Linked DNA regions of Schizosaccharomyces pombe. The gene in region 4 interacts genetically with the main gene of each other region. Each region holds a gene or a part of one and is shown on either strand. Other genes may lie near its edges.

The links.
Region 1: mutations in rrp1 (region 4) and dcr2 together harm fitness more than expected from each alone (negative genetic interaction), as found in Schizosaccharomyces pombe (one large-scale study listed by BioGRID).
Region 2: mutations in rrp1 (region 4) and atf21 together harm fitness more than expected from each alone (negative genetic interaction), as found in Schizosaccharomyces pombe (one large-scale study listed by BioGRID).
Region 3: mutations in rrp1 (region 4) and SPOM_SPBP4H10.16C together harm fitness less than expected from each alone (positive genetic interaction), as found in Schizosaccharomyces pombe (one large-scale study listed by BioGRID).

What each region holds. Positions count from the first base shown.
Region 1 is NC_003421.2:774,232-778,651, reverse strand, and holds dcr2 (phosphoprotein phosphatase), read left to right. Parts: upstream 1-1,880; 5' UTR 1,881-2,081; coding exon 2,082-3,611; 3' UTR 3,612-3,862; downstream 3,863-4,420. Other genes in the region: Tf2-12 (retrotransposable element/transposon Tf2-type), read left to right, coding at 1-519; tal1 (transaldolase), read right to left, coding at 4,186-4,420.
Region 2 is NC_003423.3:1,720,973-1,724,961, forward strand, and holds atf21 (Atf-CREB family transcription factor Atf21), read left to right. Parts: upstream 1-2,040; coding exon 2,041-3,108; 3' UTR 3,109-3,478; downstream 3,479-3,989. Other genes in the region: mRNA guanylyltransferase Ceg1, read left to right, coding at 3,875-3,989.
Region 3 is NC_003423.3:2,905,451-2,909,222, forward strand, and holds SPOM_SPBP4H10.16C (phosphatase activator), read right to left. Parts: upstream 1,790-3,772; 5' UTR 1,675-1,789; coding exon 787-1,674; 3' UTR 512-786; downstream 1-511. Other genes in the region: aco2 (aconitase/ribosomal domain-containing protein), read left to right, coding at 1-366, 407-431; SPOM_SPBP4H10.17C (carboxyl methyl esterase), read right to left, coding at 1,923-2,948; SPOM_SPBP4H10.18C (uncharacterized protein), read right to left, coding at 3,437-3,772.
Region 4 is NC_003424.3:3,578,184-3,583,529, reverse strand, and holds rrp1 (ATP-dependent DNA helicase), read right to left. Parts: upstream 3,308-5,346; coding exon 614-3,307; 3' UTR 525-613; downstream 1-524. Other genes in the region: 14-3-3 protein Rad25, read left to right, coding at 1-280.

The DNA.
Region 1 (4,420 bases), on a different chromosome or scaffold from region 4:
CAAGTATTTCAAACAGTTAAAGAACACTTGAATACAAACAACATAAAGATGAAAAAGTATTTCGATATGAAAATACAAGAAATTGAAGAATTTCAACCTGGAGACCTAGTTATGGTCAAAAGAACGAAAACAGGTTTTCTTCATAAATCCAATAAATTAGCACCTAGTTTTGCAGGACCGTTCTATGTGTTACAGAAGTCGGGTCCAAACAACTATGAATTGGATCTTCCAGATTCAATCAAGCACATGTTTTCATCTACTTTTCATGTTTCTCACCTAGAAAAGTATCGACATAATTCAGAACTCAATTACGCTACCATTGATGAGTCTGATATTGGAACAATTCTTCATATCCTAGAACATAAAAACAGAGAACAAGTACTCTACTTAAATGTCAAGTACATTTCGAATCTAAATCCGAGTACTATTATGTCAGGATGGACTACATTAGCTACAGCGCTACAAGCGGACAAAGCAATTGTCAATGATTATATTAAAAACAATAATCTAAATATCTGAGAACATATGACTTATCCTCAGATTTACATAGAAAATCTTGGGGAGGGCAATGTCAGCAATACTACACTACGCTATAATACACTACGTTGAGTATCACTATATGTCACATGTTCTAATTATATATCGTACCATGTATGATACGATATGGAGATTGATCTTAATGATAATCTATTAAGATCAATATTATCTGAATACTATAAATAGAGCTACTGCTGAACCTCGTTCCTCAGTTCAGTTATGAGCTATATTAGTGATAGGTAACATTATAACCCAGTTAATACAATACCTATACTCAGTTGCTACTTATACAACCTGTGTATCGTAATATAATAGATCACAAGGAAAACTCACCGCAGTTCTACGTATCCTTAAATCAGATACCAAACTGCGTAGCTTACACTTAATGAGTTTTCAAAAAAATATGCAAAACCAAAATAATGAGGAAAACATCATGTGAGATTAGTTAAACGAAGAATGAGTCTCAGCTTGGAAATTTGTTAATTATCAAGCTTCAAGGTATTCTGCTTGAACTTTGAGTTGAAGAATAAATGGGTTCTTTATTTTGAAAGAGTTTGCGTTATGATAATTACTCTTTGGTTCGGCTTAGTGGTTCGGCACAATAATTATGCCGGAAAAAAACAAGATCCGCAAAACCCTCTATATATATCGACTTGCTGGCAGCTTAAAACTTTTCAGATCAGGTAAGAAACTAACGCAATAGTACCCTTACACAGTTATACAACTATTGACACATGTTTCATGGGCCACAACATGTGAAATGTCGGCCAAATTAAGCTTGAATTAAGCGAGATTTATAGTACCTTGAAATATTCGTTTTCATTTGCGAGTTTTCTCGTACCACTACAGTATGAAGCAGAATTTCTCAGAAAATAATACTTAACAAAAAGTTAGAGCTTAAAATATAATCCAAAATGGTTGTTAAGATTTTGAGAGCTGCCGTACCTCTCATATAAACACTCACCGCTAGAAATTAAAAAATAAGTGAGATGAAAATATTAATGTCAATGAGTATCTGAGAGCTTATCCATGCAATTTTCTTCTTCCGAAATGCCATCTAGCTTTAACGTTTGTTTTCACTCACAAGAAAAGTCGCTATAATGCTGAATTTTAATAGACATTCAGAATAACTGAGAACCTGCTAAACTACGTTAAGCTCATCTCTTCACATACCGAGCTCTTTCCAACTTCAAGTATTATGATAAGCAAGTTTCTTGAAAGCGATTCTTAAGTGAGTATTCTGCACTACGCTAGGCATAGATAACGGATTCGTTCTTGTGCTCCGCATTCGAATCTTAATTTGAAAAGCCTTCTTCTACCATGTAAACATTACCGTAATATCCACATAATCCTTTTGCTTTCATGAATTCAGTCAATTCTACAGGTTTTTCATAAAAACTTTTAATTTGAAGCACATTTGTTATATAAATATTGCTTTTCTTTGTCAAATATTTGATCCGTAAAAGAAAAAGTTCTCGCGGGACGTTTTTCGGTTAAAAATACATTCCTACAATTACTAATCTCGTGTTCAAAGACTAAGCAAAATGATGCTACCAAAGAGAAACATTATTCATTTCCTTCGTAAAAGGGCAATCTTCATAGTTGCGGCTTTCATAGCATTATTGACTGTTGATTATTCGCTCAACACCATTGAAATCACTGACTCAAAGTCGGGACCCTTCTCACTGAACACTCCAATCGAAGATATAAGGCTGGTCGAGTGCTTTTCCTTTTCTCCCTTTTGTCGTCCCGTTTTGGAATTTTGGAAATGGGCCCGTACTAGTCGGAATCTGTACCGTTCCCGAATTCCTTGGAAGCGTGCCTACCTTTACGTGAAACGACCAGCACTGTATATTCCTGGGGAGACTGTCTTAGTTGAACAGGTATATGTTGATCGACAGCTGGAAAAGCGTAACAAGCACGGTATTCAAATTCGTTATGGAACGGATGGTGATATTTGCGAATTTAATACATTGTTGGGTGAGGATGTTGTTGAATTACGAGAGGGTTGGTCTGCTGTTCTAAATGACTTTATTTATTTAGGACAGCCGGTCCTATTGACGCAAAGACCTTGTGAAACTCCTCCGACGCCATCTATTGAAGCGCTTAAGAGAAAGGAGCTTTCATCCGTAACCCTTACTTATGATGACGAAGAAAAAAAGACAATTAAGATTCTTCAGCTTTCTGATTTGCACTATTCAAATTCTGACAGACCGTGTCGCGATCCTTATCCGTATGAGACTGCAGAGGATTGTATGGCCGATGCAAAAACTACTGCTTTCGTGAATGAATTATTACAGTTAGAGGAACCGGACTTTGTCCTTTTGACTGGGGACTTAATTAACGGCGACACGTCACGCGACGCTAGAAGCTCTTTGATGAAAGCGGTGTCCCCTTTTGTTGATTACAACGTCCCATTTGCTGTAAATTTCGGAAATCACGATGATTTGGGAGATTTATCGAGGGAAGAGCTTGCCAAAATTTTGAGTCAGATTCCTGGTAGTATGGGTTTGATTGGAAATGTCTCTGGTGTTGGTAACTTTGTTTTACATAGTCCCCGAAAGTTTGCCATTTACGTTTTAGATACAAAGGGAGATACTTCAAATCGAAGATTATGCCCTGGATACGATGCTATTACCGAGGATCAACTGGAGTGGCTTTCTAGTAAAGTTGCGGATTTCAAGTACGAGCCCATTCAAATGGCTGTATTGCATATCCCTCTGAAGGAGTTTTGCGAGACTGAAGACCTTGTTGGTGCATTTCGAGAGCCCTGTTCTTATTCCATTTGTGATCCAAATACTGCGAAAGCTTTGAAAAGTTTACGTATTCCTCTTGCTATTGCAGGACATGACCATGTAAATGATTTCTGTGGAATCCATCCAGATTATAACACATACTTTTGCTTTGCTGGAGGTGCTGGGTTTGGCGGATATGGAGGACATGGTGGCTACGTTCGTCGTGCAAGGGTTTTTGAGTTGGACCCGGTTGAGCGCGCAGTTCGTACTTGGAAACGCTTGGAATGGCCTCCTGAAGACCGTAAGTTGATGCTGGACGTACAAACTATTTTAGTTTAAACAATCACTCCTCTCATTATATAACTTATTTCACAGCAGGATATAATTTTCTTTTTCTTCTATCTTTACGATATTTTTATTTTCTATTCAATCTTCATCCCAATTTTATGGGATCCTTCTTTTCAAAGTGAATTTCTTATGTTACGGAAGTAATATACTAATTAATATTAACGAAATTTTTACGCTCTTCCAATTACATACTTAAATAGTTTTGAAATGTGTTTGCTAATAATTAATTCCACATTCTACCATTTGCAGTTGAGATCCATCATATATTTTATTCCAAAATACAAGTAAATATGTCCATCCACATACGCAATACATATATACAAAATATATATATTCATTTATATAACAATCGTCAAACCTAAAGGCTTAGTCACACTTATAGCTCGCAAGTACGATTTATTTTTTGTGTTTTGTTAAAAAAGACTGCCATAACATCCTTAAAATCATAATCTGGAAACCTCAACATACGGAATGCTAGCAGTAAAAAGGGTAAAAAAAAGTAAGCTAAAAAACTCCTAACAAAATGAAAGAAATCGGTATACCTAACTGGTTGCAGCTAAAATATTTAGGCCTCAAGCTTAGCCTTCAAGATGGTACGAAGAGTATCAGCATCCTTGGCAAAGGCAGCGATACCAGTGGACAACTTGACTACAGCCATTTCGTCGTTGTTAAAGTCGAAACGGAACTTGGGCTCATCAGTAAGGTAGGAAACCTTCTCCAAATTGAGGCTGGAAGCCTTGGAGGCATCAAGCTTCTTGGGGACAGCGTCGGTGCTGTTGTTGAGCTGCTCAAGAAGGGCG
Region 2 (3,989 bases), on a different chromosome or scaffold from region 4:
AAGAAGTGAAATAGCTACGTGGGTTAATCAATAGTGTCTACGTCCAATTATTATCTGAGGTATACACATGCAACAATCACGGCATTTACATCTCAGTAAATTAAAATAAAGAAAAATAATATCATTAAATTAAGTCAAAAGGTTTAAAGGTGATATCCTATGAATTCGGGAAATTGCCAACTATATCTTAGATAGTCACATTTCTACCAAATTGACGTAGAGCTTAATTAAATATTCCAGATGTTGCTAAAGTATTCTCATATTGTCAACTGCGAAGTTCAACATCTTTCGATTTGCAGAACTGATTCAATCCAGTGGCTAACTCATGGTCGTATGTACGATCCGTTCTGTCTATTTTGATTTAATGTGACCAAAAGTTAAACTTCATCTCGTGTATAGTTAAAAGATATGATAGTATACATACTAAAAATGAGAATTCTGGCAAACCAGATTTAAATCAATAACATGTTACTCTTGCTTGCGACAATATAAGTAAATGTGGGCAAGAAAGATGAAGAAGTATTAGAAACAAGTTGCGGCTAAATTTTGAGAAAGGATTGATAGCGGAAAGGCTACTAATAGTAATGATATGAGCTATTATTATCAGTAACGATAAAGCCGTTTATGGTGGCGCGCGTAAGAGAACGACAAAATTTGAAGCCTAGGTAGTTTCATCAAAACCATTAAAGGAAATAAATATGAAAAAAGCTAGCAAGAGAGGCGATATTATATTTTCGCATTCACAACTTTACTATTGACGACTACGAATACCGAGGGATAGCGTTATTATCTCTCCACAAGTAATCGGCTATTTTTTGATTGGTTTAAATAAAAGTAAATCCTGATTATATTTGACATAATCTGCATCAAATAGAACTCTAGATTTTCCTTTCCGAATATGGTGGCCAATTAACGGTACGACTGTGATGTAAATATTACACAGTGGAGCGACACGTGAATGTAGTCCCCTTCGGTTAGCTCCTTAAAATGGAGGCCTTAAAGGATAATACTGCTTGACTTTTTTAGCATAGTGCCTTTGTTAATTGCAACAAATCCCTTCAAACAAAAAAAAAATAAATTTTTATAAAGAAAAACTTTTTATTTCTATACGGCAAGTTCATCTCATAAAGTAAACAAATCATTTCCCGATTGGCTACCCTAGCCCTTCGTTTGTTTGTTTTGCAGTGACGTCAAAATTCATCTCACCCGATCAACATATATAAACATTGCGACACAAACCAAAAAGTTACCGACTGCAGCATCATATTTCTCAGCAGAAACGTATTCTTATAGTAATCCAAGTCCAAAATTAAGGAATTGGTATCTTAAACCACCTTAGTACATAGTTCTCTATTGTTTATAAGCCTCTTTACTTGCCAGGGACGCAGTAAGACATTGCTTCCTTCACCACCTTCATTATCCTTTACCTTCTTTCTCTGTCCACCTTATATATATATACTTATTTTCCCAGGAATCCTCACTTTTGCCATTAATCCATTCCATCCTTCTGTAGAACGACGAATTGTCATCCCTTCCTTTATCGTTCGTTCATTTCCTAAAACCGGGACACTACTGCATGCTTAAAACAGAGGAAAAATAAAGAGAGAACACATTTATATAATTGAAAGAAACTTTTCCATTGATAGCTCCTAAGTTTCAAATCACCAACTTGTCGGTTTATACATTCTTCATTTTCTTTTATTTACTTTTTTGAAGAAGTTCACAGGGATCACTATTCAGAAATTTTATACAAAGATATTGCATCCTTATTCATCAATCCAAATTTGCGTCACTTGATCGACCACAATTTGCTTCATCTTCCCTTCCCAATTTGTTTCGCCAGCACCTGAATAACATAGCCTCTTTTTAAGATTTAACCTTCTTCAAGAAATCACTACATATTCGCACTACTAACAAAAAAGAAACTTTCGCTTTTTATTTAGTCCGTTCTTGTATCAACTATCTTCATCGGCTTTACCGTCGAAACCATTTCAACCGCACTCAATAGAAAATTAACTTGCTCATCATCAATCTTCCATCATGGATTTCGCAAATGTGTATCTCGGGTTAGATACACTAGGTAATGAAGGATATGGTGCTAGCGTCAGTAATGGCACTCACCATGATTTTCATTTTAACTTCAATACATTCCGCGATGGTGGTAACCATGAAGTTGGAGAAAAACGCGCTGAATCTAGCGATATCGGAGTATATGAATGTAGAGGTCCAGTCCAGGGACCTAAAGATCAAACATCCTTTCCCTCGAATTCACATAATAACTACGCTTCAATAGTAGGTGATGCTAGCATTGGACATTACCTCAAAGGACCCGAGCGTACTTCAGAGGTATCATTACCTCAAACGGTAAACCTTTCGGAGATTTCTAACAATAATGACAAAGGCCAGCCTACAAATACTCCTCCTGTACGCTCAACAATTGTTGCACCTTCATTATACTCTGAAGGTAGTACTTTGAATCATTATAATAATGGATCTCATCAAGTGCTTCATCCACAATTCCAAAATGGAACCAACGCCCCATACGTAGTGCAGTCAAATCTTATGCAAAACAATGTTAATCTAACAGGAGCGGAACAAGAAAAAGGTTTGGACCTATATAAGAATTCCGCTACTGCGAATAACGATGAGATTTTCTATAATCTTGAATCCTTACGTAGAGAAGGATACTTAAACTCCAACAAGAAGCAGTCTCAATCTCCAAATGGAGACTACAACAGCAGCGATGAGTCCTGTTCCAATAAAACCGTCGCCTCCAGTCAACGACGGGGTACACCTGGCAGTAACAATGTTCATACCGCTAGTAACAATGAAACTCCTGATATGAAGAGGAGGCGGTTTTTAGAGAGAAATCGAATAGCCGCATCGAAATGCCGCCAAAAGAAAAAGCTTTGGACACAGAATCTCGAAAAAACAGCACATATCGCATGTGAGCAGTCGAAAGCTCTAAGGATTTTAGTCAGCCAACTACGTGAAGAAGTAATTTGTTTGAAGAATCAACTATTAGCTCATCAAGATTGCAATTGCGAAGGAATTCGACAATATCTTTCTTCAGAGGCTCAAGGAATTATGTCCTTTCAGAAACATTGAGCAAATGACACCCCATTGAATCAAGTTTCGTAACATTTTTTTATTATACTGTATATGCATTTCTGAGAGCCTGGATAGAATCTTGCAATAGGAGATGCTTAAAAGACGGCCAGTGCTGCTCTACTGCTTGTCTATAGTAATTGTACTTTAACTCTGGCATATTTTATTTTTCTTTTTTCACAATACTATTATTTTCTTCGCGTCACTGTGTTCATGGGATTTGCAATCTCACTCCAAACTCGTTTCATTCAATTGCTTGGGTTTTTCATTCATGTTTCTTCATTAAAAGTGTTTATGTTTCGAAGATCCTTTACGCACGTTTCATTTCCAGATTAATAATTACTGTAATGATATATCTTCCCTATATGTATTTTTTTAATAGGTTACGATTGCTTTACGAACTTGACCTAGATGAGCCAAATCTGTAATCACTGCCATATAATCTGTACCTCGTTCACAGACATGTCATTTTATCTTCAGTACGACACCACAGTTACATATATTGTTTGCTTTGGAATAAAAAAAAAATTAAGTAATAGAATAACACTTTCTGAAGTAAATGGTAGAAAAGATAACAGTATTCGTAGAGCAGCTATAATTATATGCATTTTTGCGTTTTGCAGCAAAAGATCACTATACTGCATAAGGAATTTTTATACAAACCATGTGTCTTTATTTAGTACATTAAGACTATATCCCGTTTCTACTCCTTCAGAAAGTGCTTAAGCCCTCTCTTAGCAAAGAAACGAGTGTATTATTAAAAGGAATGGCACCCTCAGAGAAAGACATTGAAGAGGTATCAGTCCCTGGAGTTTTAGCACCGCGCGACGATGTGAGGGTTTTAAAGACACGAATTGCCAAATTATTAGGAACAAGTCCTG
Region 3 (3,772 bases), on a different chromosome or scaffold from region 4:
CGAAAAGGCCCATTCTGGCGTGGTAAATCAAAAGGTTATAGATTCAATAAAACAACAACCTGACCACTATGCTGATGCGTATATATTTAATCGTCATTTTGTTATAGCCAAAGGAGATCAACTAGGATTGCCTTTTCACTTGAAAGGTGTCCAGGTTGGTGATACGATACGACTTGATAAAATCGCTTCCTTCGGCTCAAGAGATTTTACTCTCTTTGGTAACCCGTATGTAGACCCTTCATTGTTTACGATTGAAGCGGTTGTATTATCATTCCCTAAAAGCGCATTAAGTGTTCGAGTAAAACACAAGCGTCGTCATCGTCATGATCGTGTAATGAAACATAAACAAACGTATACTATTTTAAGGTAAGTGTGCAGCAATTCTATCATGTTACTAATCATCCAGGGTTACGGAACTCAAACTGAACTAATTCCCTTTCTTCTTTTTATCTAGTCTTCTACTTCACCCATGTATGCTGCTGACAACTAAAACATTTTGTAAATTAATATAATAATTTTGTGTATTAAGGGAAATAGTGACAAGTAATACTGAACGTTGTTCAATAAAATAATAAAAAAAATTTCAGAGAGGATCAAGAAATAATAAAACTCGTAGGAGGAGTACAAATCTAATTTAAGCAATTACAAATCAAGGATTAAGTAGGTAATTGCTGCGCAAAAATAATTCTTGCTCATTTAAAAATAAAGAGGAATAACAAAAACAACAAAAACAACAAAAACACAAAAGAGAAAAAATGCTTTTAAACTTTGAAACATACCCTGTACTTAAACCGCTGCAGTCTCGTACGTATTAGCGCCTAATACAGCAAGTTCCAACGTCCAAACTCTTCTTACCCAAGTTGCAAACTCGATCCCATTGTAGGTGATACTGGTAGAAGAATCCCACCAACACTTCCGAGCTGGTTTCTGCCAAAAGAGGAGCAACTTGTGATAAACAGGAAAATATTCAGGATCAGAGACAGGGCCCTGATCTGCACTAAAATCTAGGTTGGTCAAAGTGACTGAAGTAATACAAGCGCGATGTGGTTCTTGTATTCGCCGTTTCCATTCGTCATCTTCGTGAAATCCGCTGTAGCAAAGCATGCGTACAAGGTTCTTTTCAGCGGAACCTTCTGAGGTGGAGTTTTCGAGATGTAAACAATCAAAGATCTTCTTTTGTTGCAGCAATCGTTGGGCTACACGTTGTTTTAGTTTAAGCAAATCGTTCGGACTAACTTCAATGGCAATATTGGTGGTTGGTGAAATGGGTGGGAGGATAAAAAACTCAATGTCTTCTTTTAACAGAATTATACCACATTTTCCAGGAAAAGAAGGTGGAGGTGGTGATAATGCAATTTCATCATTAGCGGTACGATTTTCGGCCATTTGAAAATAATTTAATATGTACTGAAGTAATGAAGGATCAAAGTCAGCTGTTTGAAATATTAATGGCCTTTGAGTCAGTTGGCATTCTTGAATCTCATAATCCAACAACAGGCCTCTAGGAAATAAACACATCAAGATGGATTCCGGGAGGCCTAAAAGCTGATCTCTACTCAATTCAAATACTGTGTCACGATCGCATAATTGAATAATAATAGGATCTCCTTCATAATTGAAATCGGGATTGGCTGCTACAGTAGGTATTTCCTGAGCCTGAGTTATCACAGACATGAAGGCACAAAAATTCGAGTGTTTAAAAGAGAAGTTTCAATAAAATAAATTATTTTTTAATCAAGGGTAATGATAAATAAAGATACAATCATATATGCGAATGCAACGTACTTATAGGTACTATGAAAGCGGTGCCTTTGATATCGATGCCTACGCAACCTGCACAGCACAACGTTATATGACCATACATACTCCACTATATAACGCATTTTTCTTAGTGTATAATAAAGTTCGTTAAATCATTAAGATTACTGTAGAACAGGAGTAGCACCAACTTTGGGAGGTAAAACCAAAGGTTGATTGCGATGCCAAAAATTTAAAAGTAGAGAGGAAATCTTAGCGGGAACATCTTCATGAACAAAATGACCAGTTTCAGGAAGAATCTCAAGTTGATATTTTCCTTGCATTTGTCCAATTGTTAACGTTTTATCTAGACGATCGGTACCAGCGACAATAAGCATCCTTCCATATGGTGCTCTTAGGAATTTGTCACTTAAACCCTTAAACCAGTCCATCCAATACGGCGATGTTTTGTAAAGATCGGTTCGCCAAACGAATGTGCCATCTTCCTGCTGAACGAGAAGTGAAGGAACTGTAATACAGGCCGATAATCTGTTTCTAGTAACTAAAGTCTTGATATGCCAAGAAATTGCATCATCAATTGATTTAAAGCTAGTAGGACGATTAGAGAGGTACGTTTTCATAAAACCCAATGCTTCCATCGCAGTCCCTTCAACCACATCAATGACAACAAGTCCAGAAGTATTGGGAATAGTTTTTTGAAAAGCACAGTAAGCACAAATGGCACCTCCTAAGCTATGTCCGACCAAAATGATTTTTTCATCAAGCTCAAACATACGTTGAACATAGGAGACTGCGTGAGTAAAGTCCTTAGATAATGTTTCCAAGCTCATATCTGATTCGGGTTCTAACGTTGTTTCTCCATGAGCTCGAAGGTCCAACGCTAAAAAACCAACCTTATTATCTGAATTACTCAAGAGCTCTTGTGTAACCGGTGCAAATGACATGGCACTTGAGCCAGCACCGTGTTGCAAAACAAGTAAGCAACCATCTGGTTGTGGAAGTGTTAAGTACCCATTGATAGTCCCATTCAAAGCCCCACTTTCACCAGGAATTGTTAACTTTTCATCAAAGTAATTTCGCCAATCGCTTAAACTCTCTTCATTATTTAACATTAGTTCCTTGGTTTCGGATGATTGCTCAGATTCATTCTCATAGAGTGTTTGACTGAGTTCTTCTTTACGAAATGCCATTATAAAGTATTATAATATCTTTTTTAGCTTACACGCAGCACTATAAATAGTTCACACGAATTCCTCGTTGGTTTTATGAAGATAGAATATACAATCCCAGAAGCAGAAACGGACCTGATTGAAAAAAAAAAAAATTAATTCAATGTAATTCTGAAATCGATAAATTTTAAAACAAACAATGTGTATTCCCCAGGTAGCTAAGTTGAGTAAATAATATGCAGTGGAAGTTTCCTGTACTTACTGCGGATTCCTCAATGCTCAAATGATTTACACGCCTTCCATCGCCTACGTAAAAAAATTAACGACGTAACATTTAAATATGTTACCTCGCTTTACACCAACGCTATTTTTCCTTACAGACAAATGTGACTAAAATACAATGGTAAAAGTAAGATTGAAAATCATAATTAATTTATACTTTTTATGCTAGTATGAGACAAAAATATGAGTAGATGAATGTATTATCTACTTTTGGCAATAAGCTGGTTTTATTTGAGACCTGTCATAGAAGATGATTGGGTAGATTTCTCTTGCAACTGTTTAATTAGTAGTAATCGTCCAGCTGGTAGAGCTACCGACATTGGAGTAAAGCTAGCAAACAGCTTTGGATTAACAAAAGGAAGTTCAAAAGGTGTTATTCTAGAAATATCTCTGTGGTCGTGGATACTGGTCTCTATTTTTGCGGTAGAATCATTATTGGCAGAAAAATCCTCCTCAGTAGTCAGTTGAGTTTCATCTTGATTTCTTTTCTTTAACAAGATTGACTTTTTGTTTCTTAAAACTGACGCTTTACTTGAAAGATTCTGCTCATTTTTCTCTCTGGA
Region 4 (5,346 bases):
TTCCGTCTTCTATTATGAAATCCTTGACTCTCCAGAAAGTGCATGCCATTTGGCTAAACAAGTATTTGATGAGGCCATTTCAGAGCTCGATAGTCTTTCTGAAGAATCTTACAAAGACTCTACTTTAATCATGCAGCTTCTTCGCGATAACTTGACTTTATGGACTTCTGACGCCGAATACAACCAGTCTGCTAAGGAGGAGGCTCCTGCTGCCGCTGCTGCTTCTGAAAACGAACATCCCGAGCCCAAAGAGTCTACGACTGACACTGTTAAAGCTTGAAACTAAAGCGTTAGCATTTTATCAGTAAACGGATCCTAATGGTCTGATTACTTTTGCATATATGAACTGATACCTATGATTTATCTAATATTCGTAGCCATATAACAAAGTTATCTTCATTATATTCTTCTTGCACTTTATTTCTATCATTTATAAATTTATAACTTTGATTACGTTTCATGAGTAGTTAGTTTGGCTTTGTGGCCTTAAAACCATCAAAGCATACTATTATTATACATTGTACATGCGTTACACTACACCACCCCTTTTTTTAACGTTTAGTTTAGTATGCAGTAGAGTATAGTTCATTTGAGTAACGTTAACATTAAATAATCATGAATTAAGCCCAAATAGATATAGCAACTCTTCTTTGTCAAGTCTCGACAGAGGATTGTTTTCGTTTGAATCCAAAGCTTCTTTAACCAATTGACGCTTCTTACGTTGAACACTGACGATACGCTCTTCAATCGTATCTTTAGTAATAAACCTATACACGGTGACAGGCTTCTGCTGTCCAAGCCGATGAACACGATCTATTGCTTGATCCTCTATGCTCGGATTATAAAATGGTTCCTGTAGAATAACGTGATTTGCAATCGTCAAATTCAAACCCACGCTGCCGGCTTTCAATGAAACCAGCATGACTAAAACATCTTTATCGTTATTAAAAGAATGTAGGGACTTTTGCCTCTGGTTCGCAGACATAGTACCATCATAACGAACATGTCGTATATTTTCTAATTTTAGCATGTGCGATACGAGGCATAAATACTGGGAGAACTGAGAATAGACCAGAATTTTTTCGTTTCTCTTGGAGCCAATTATATCCAAAATTGTTTGTCTTGCTTGATTCAATTTCGAGGAGCTTTTCCATTCGCTCGCCCGCTTGCCAAATTTTTTGGTAAACATCTGGTCAATACGATTTTCCCACCTTAATTTAATGCTTTCTTGTTCTGAAAAAGATTGATTCATATCTAACTCTAATTGCTTTAAAGAGTTTAAAGGACCATGGATTGCTTGAAGGATAGTTGCATCAACTAATGAATCTTGAACTATATTACCTCTGCACATTGGGCACTTTGCTATGATCGTAGAAGTGCTTGATGATCCATACTTCTGGCCGACTAGCATGCTCATACACTCTTGACATGTAAAGTGCCCGCAAGGGATAATAAAAACGGGAGCCAAACAAGGATCCAAACAAACACTACAGTTGAAATCCTGTAGTGTAGCAATTCTTTCTATGGTCAAGGGATCCAAAGACTTGCAAGCATTTCTGACGTTTTCGGAATCTCTAATTCTAAAGCTGTTATCCAAGCTAGAACTCTTAACAAGCCATGGGTGACAACAAAATTGGCGAAGACGGAGTAAAGATACTAATAAGAACCCGTAGCGCGAAAGATCGTGATCATTGTTAAAATAGTTATCAACGAGCGATTGAGCACTAGACATTTGCTCATTGTAGAGCGCGCGTTCTTCAGGAAGAAGGTTCACGGAGACGGTACGGATGGTTTTTGGAGGAAGGTTGACAATAGGCAAATTATTAACCCTCGTCTCTTTAGTTCTACGAAAAACCGTAGAAGCCAAAAGGATGCGAAGACGTTTAAGAGCAGCTTCAACGATATCTGCACGATAACTTTTTAGCGGTCTGGAAATATCCTTAGCAAAAAGGCTCCACACGCAATATGGTTTTATTCTGAGGAACTTTAAGAGGCTGTAAAACTCATCAATATGGTTTTGTATGGGGGTTCCGCTTAGGCACCATCTATATTTGGCATCCAGTTTGACGCAGCATTTAGCGGCAAGAGTGTCGCGGTTACGAATGGTATGTGCCTCATCTAGAACAATGCGATACCAGGAAGTCTCTAGCAATGAACAGGCTGGCGGCGGAGTTGCCGTAGCGGGATTGTTATTATTAAACGCATCGTTTTGCTTCATTTCATAAGCAAGCATTGAATACGTAGTCAAGACAACATCATATTGAGAAAGTTCGTAAGAGTCCAAGTTTTTCTTAGTGGACCCATGATGGATGTAAACGGATAATTTTTTACTGGGGTGCACTTTAGTAGACAATTCTTCAGCCCACTGATGTAAGAGGGCGACAGAAACCACAATCAGGTTTGTCTTACGAAGAGGGTCTTGGGATTTTTGAGTAAGAAGTAAAGCAATTGTTTGAATGGTTTTTCCAAGGCCCATGTCGTCGGCCATAACCCCACCACACTTGGAGCTTTGCTCCATGGATTCCATCCAAGCATGGCCCTCGACTTGATGTGGTAAAAGAGAAACCAATAAACCGGCGGATTGTACTTGCTCATTTTTCAACTGCAGGTCGATCGTGTCGAACGGACTGGGAGTATTATGCTGAAGTAATTGATGCAATTCTTTTGTGACATGTTCTGGTTGCACCTTACGCTCATAAGGGCAAAAAGAGTTGGTACTAATAGTCCCGGTAGGTAGGGATGAAGATGATGGAGGTGGAAGAGGAGTAGGAAGACGACTCAATTGTTTAGCGGTAATGAAGGAGGAAGGAGGAGTCAAATGTTCGGGATTATCAAGATCAATAGGGTGGTCACTCGAGCCTAATACGGAAGGGATGTCGTTAGAGACGGAAGAAGTGGTATGTGGAATAGAAGAAATTGATGGAGTAGACGAAGAAGATGGAATAGAAGGAAGAGATGATGAGTTTGAGGGAGTAGAAGTTAAGCGCGTAGGGGGACGAAAGGGAAAGTTTTTAAAAGACCAAAGACGTTTTTGCCGCCATCGCTTGCGAGTGGAAAGGGAAGAAGAAGTAGGATTTTTGGAAGGAGGATGATCAAAGGGAGGAAGAGAATAGGAAGAGGATTGTGAATTTTGAAGGGACCTAGCAAATTGTTCGTCTAGTTCAACTTGGTTTTGGGAAGAAGATGAGGAGGGGGCAGAAGAGGGGGAAGAAGAATTCCATTCATCTTGAAGACGACGGGCCAATTCCTCGTCATTTTGAAGTTGCTGAAAGGTGGATTGAGGAGGATATGCAGACAATGAATCCATGATGATTAAGAGCTAGGCTATAAAAGAGACATGATTAGAAGGAAGAGACCAGGAAGAATTATTTTAAAATCGAATTGAGGGGGAAAATGGAATATATAGAAAGTGTATGAAAAGTATGCAATGCCACTCGAAAAAAAAGTGGTAGAAAAATTAATTGTAAATTAAAAAAAAAAAAAAAAAAAAAAAAAGGAAACAAAATGAAACACTGAAATAATAATGGAGACCTATTTGGTTTAAGAAAGTGTGATGGATAAATGTAAAACAAGCATTTATGGAAAGCACTATGTACAAATAAAAAAAAAACACTAGTGAGAAGTGGATGAAATGGGAAAACACTTGCTCTTTAAGTATGACCTCGTTAACGTTTGTTGAAAAAAGATAAGGAAAATGAACGAATTAGAACGAGGCAATTGATGAAATGCGCAGATGAGCGGTGAGATGCAATATGGCGGAATCAAACAAGTTGATATGTAGTAAAAGTTTAACGATTCAAAATCTCGAGAATGATAAAGATAATAGGAACTGAGTATGCTAGAGATGAATTAAAGAAGGATAACGAGAGTATTGGAATGTGCGATAAAACAAAAATGAATGGAGGAGTAGGAGGAACTAGGTAAATCAAAAAGGAAAATGATGGTAGGATGTAAAGAAGAAAACCGTTTCAAAAAACGAATCGCAAAACTATTGAAAAGAATATCTAACCAAAAATTAAAATAAAATAAAATAAAATAAAAAGCAAAAAAAATAAATAGAAAAAAATTTTTGTTTTGTTCTGGTCAACCGATGATATGAATTAAGAGACACATTTGATAAGATGGAATGGATGCTGAAACGGGTTTCCAGTAAAAAGGATGGGATGCACCTTCGAGAAGCATACGTGGTCGTCGACGAGAAGGAAAAGAACGAAAAGTGTGAAGAATTTGAAACAAGGCAAAAATTAGATAGAAGAGATGAAAAGAAAAGCAAATTTAGACAAAGGAATTGAGTAGCCGATCTTTAATTGCGAAAGAGCGATTACAGCTGCAAAAGTTGGAAAAGTAGGGCCAAAAGAGACACGTGAAAGTAAAACAGAGAAAAAGAAGAAAGGACAAGAAGGAGCGGTGGCGCGCCTCCCGAAAAAAAATAAATAAAAAAAATAAAAAAATTTAGTGAAAGAGAGATTTGAATGAATGATTCTGCTAACGAATATTTTGATGAATAAAATTTAAGGAATGAGGCGGGTTTATGATTTTGAAACGAGAGTTTTCTTGCATGCACTTTTTCGAATTTGCTTCCAGTGTGCTTGCATGTGTTTGTTTTGCGCAACACATGTGTTTGATTGTGTGATGCGACTAGAACTGTAAGCTCTGGAGATGTGTTGAAGATCTTGCTTTTCAAAAAATTCCAACTCGCACCACTCTTCTCACTATCGCCGAAGATTGACAATGGCAGGATTAGCGTAGCATAGCGAGCTGAAAATCACAAGGCAAAAAAGGTGAAAGACGAGGACTAGTCGGTACGGAGTAAACTTAATCCGACCGAGCACAGGGGAGGCAAAATAGGAGCCGAGAGGAACACGAGGAACAAAACAAAAAAAAAAAAAAATTTCAGTTGCGAATAGGAAAAACACAAAATAAATAAAGAATTAAATTAAATTATTAGGAAATTTTTTTATGAATTGCAAAAACATCACGAGTTAAAAAAAAAAGGAAAGAAAGAGAGAATTGATAAAAAAAAAATAAAAAATTAAATAAAAAATAAATTAGAAATTAGTAACTCAATTACCGATCAAAAACATTAAAAGTAAAAAAGAATTGTTCAAGTCAATGATCGATCAAAGGAAAGAAGGATTCGAGTCGTTTTGAAAAGAAGAACATGGCAAGCGCTGCCGAGGTATGGAAGAAAAGGGCAAAGGTATCGTGTTGTGTGGAATATAATATTATAGAGTTGATGAACCGATAGGTCGGGAGGAATTTGGGTAGAGTAGCAATGTAATATAATTTTATCGAGTGACTGGCGAGTGGCATCCAGAACATAGACAAACTAAGTAGTCAGGAGGA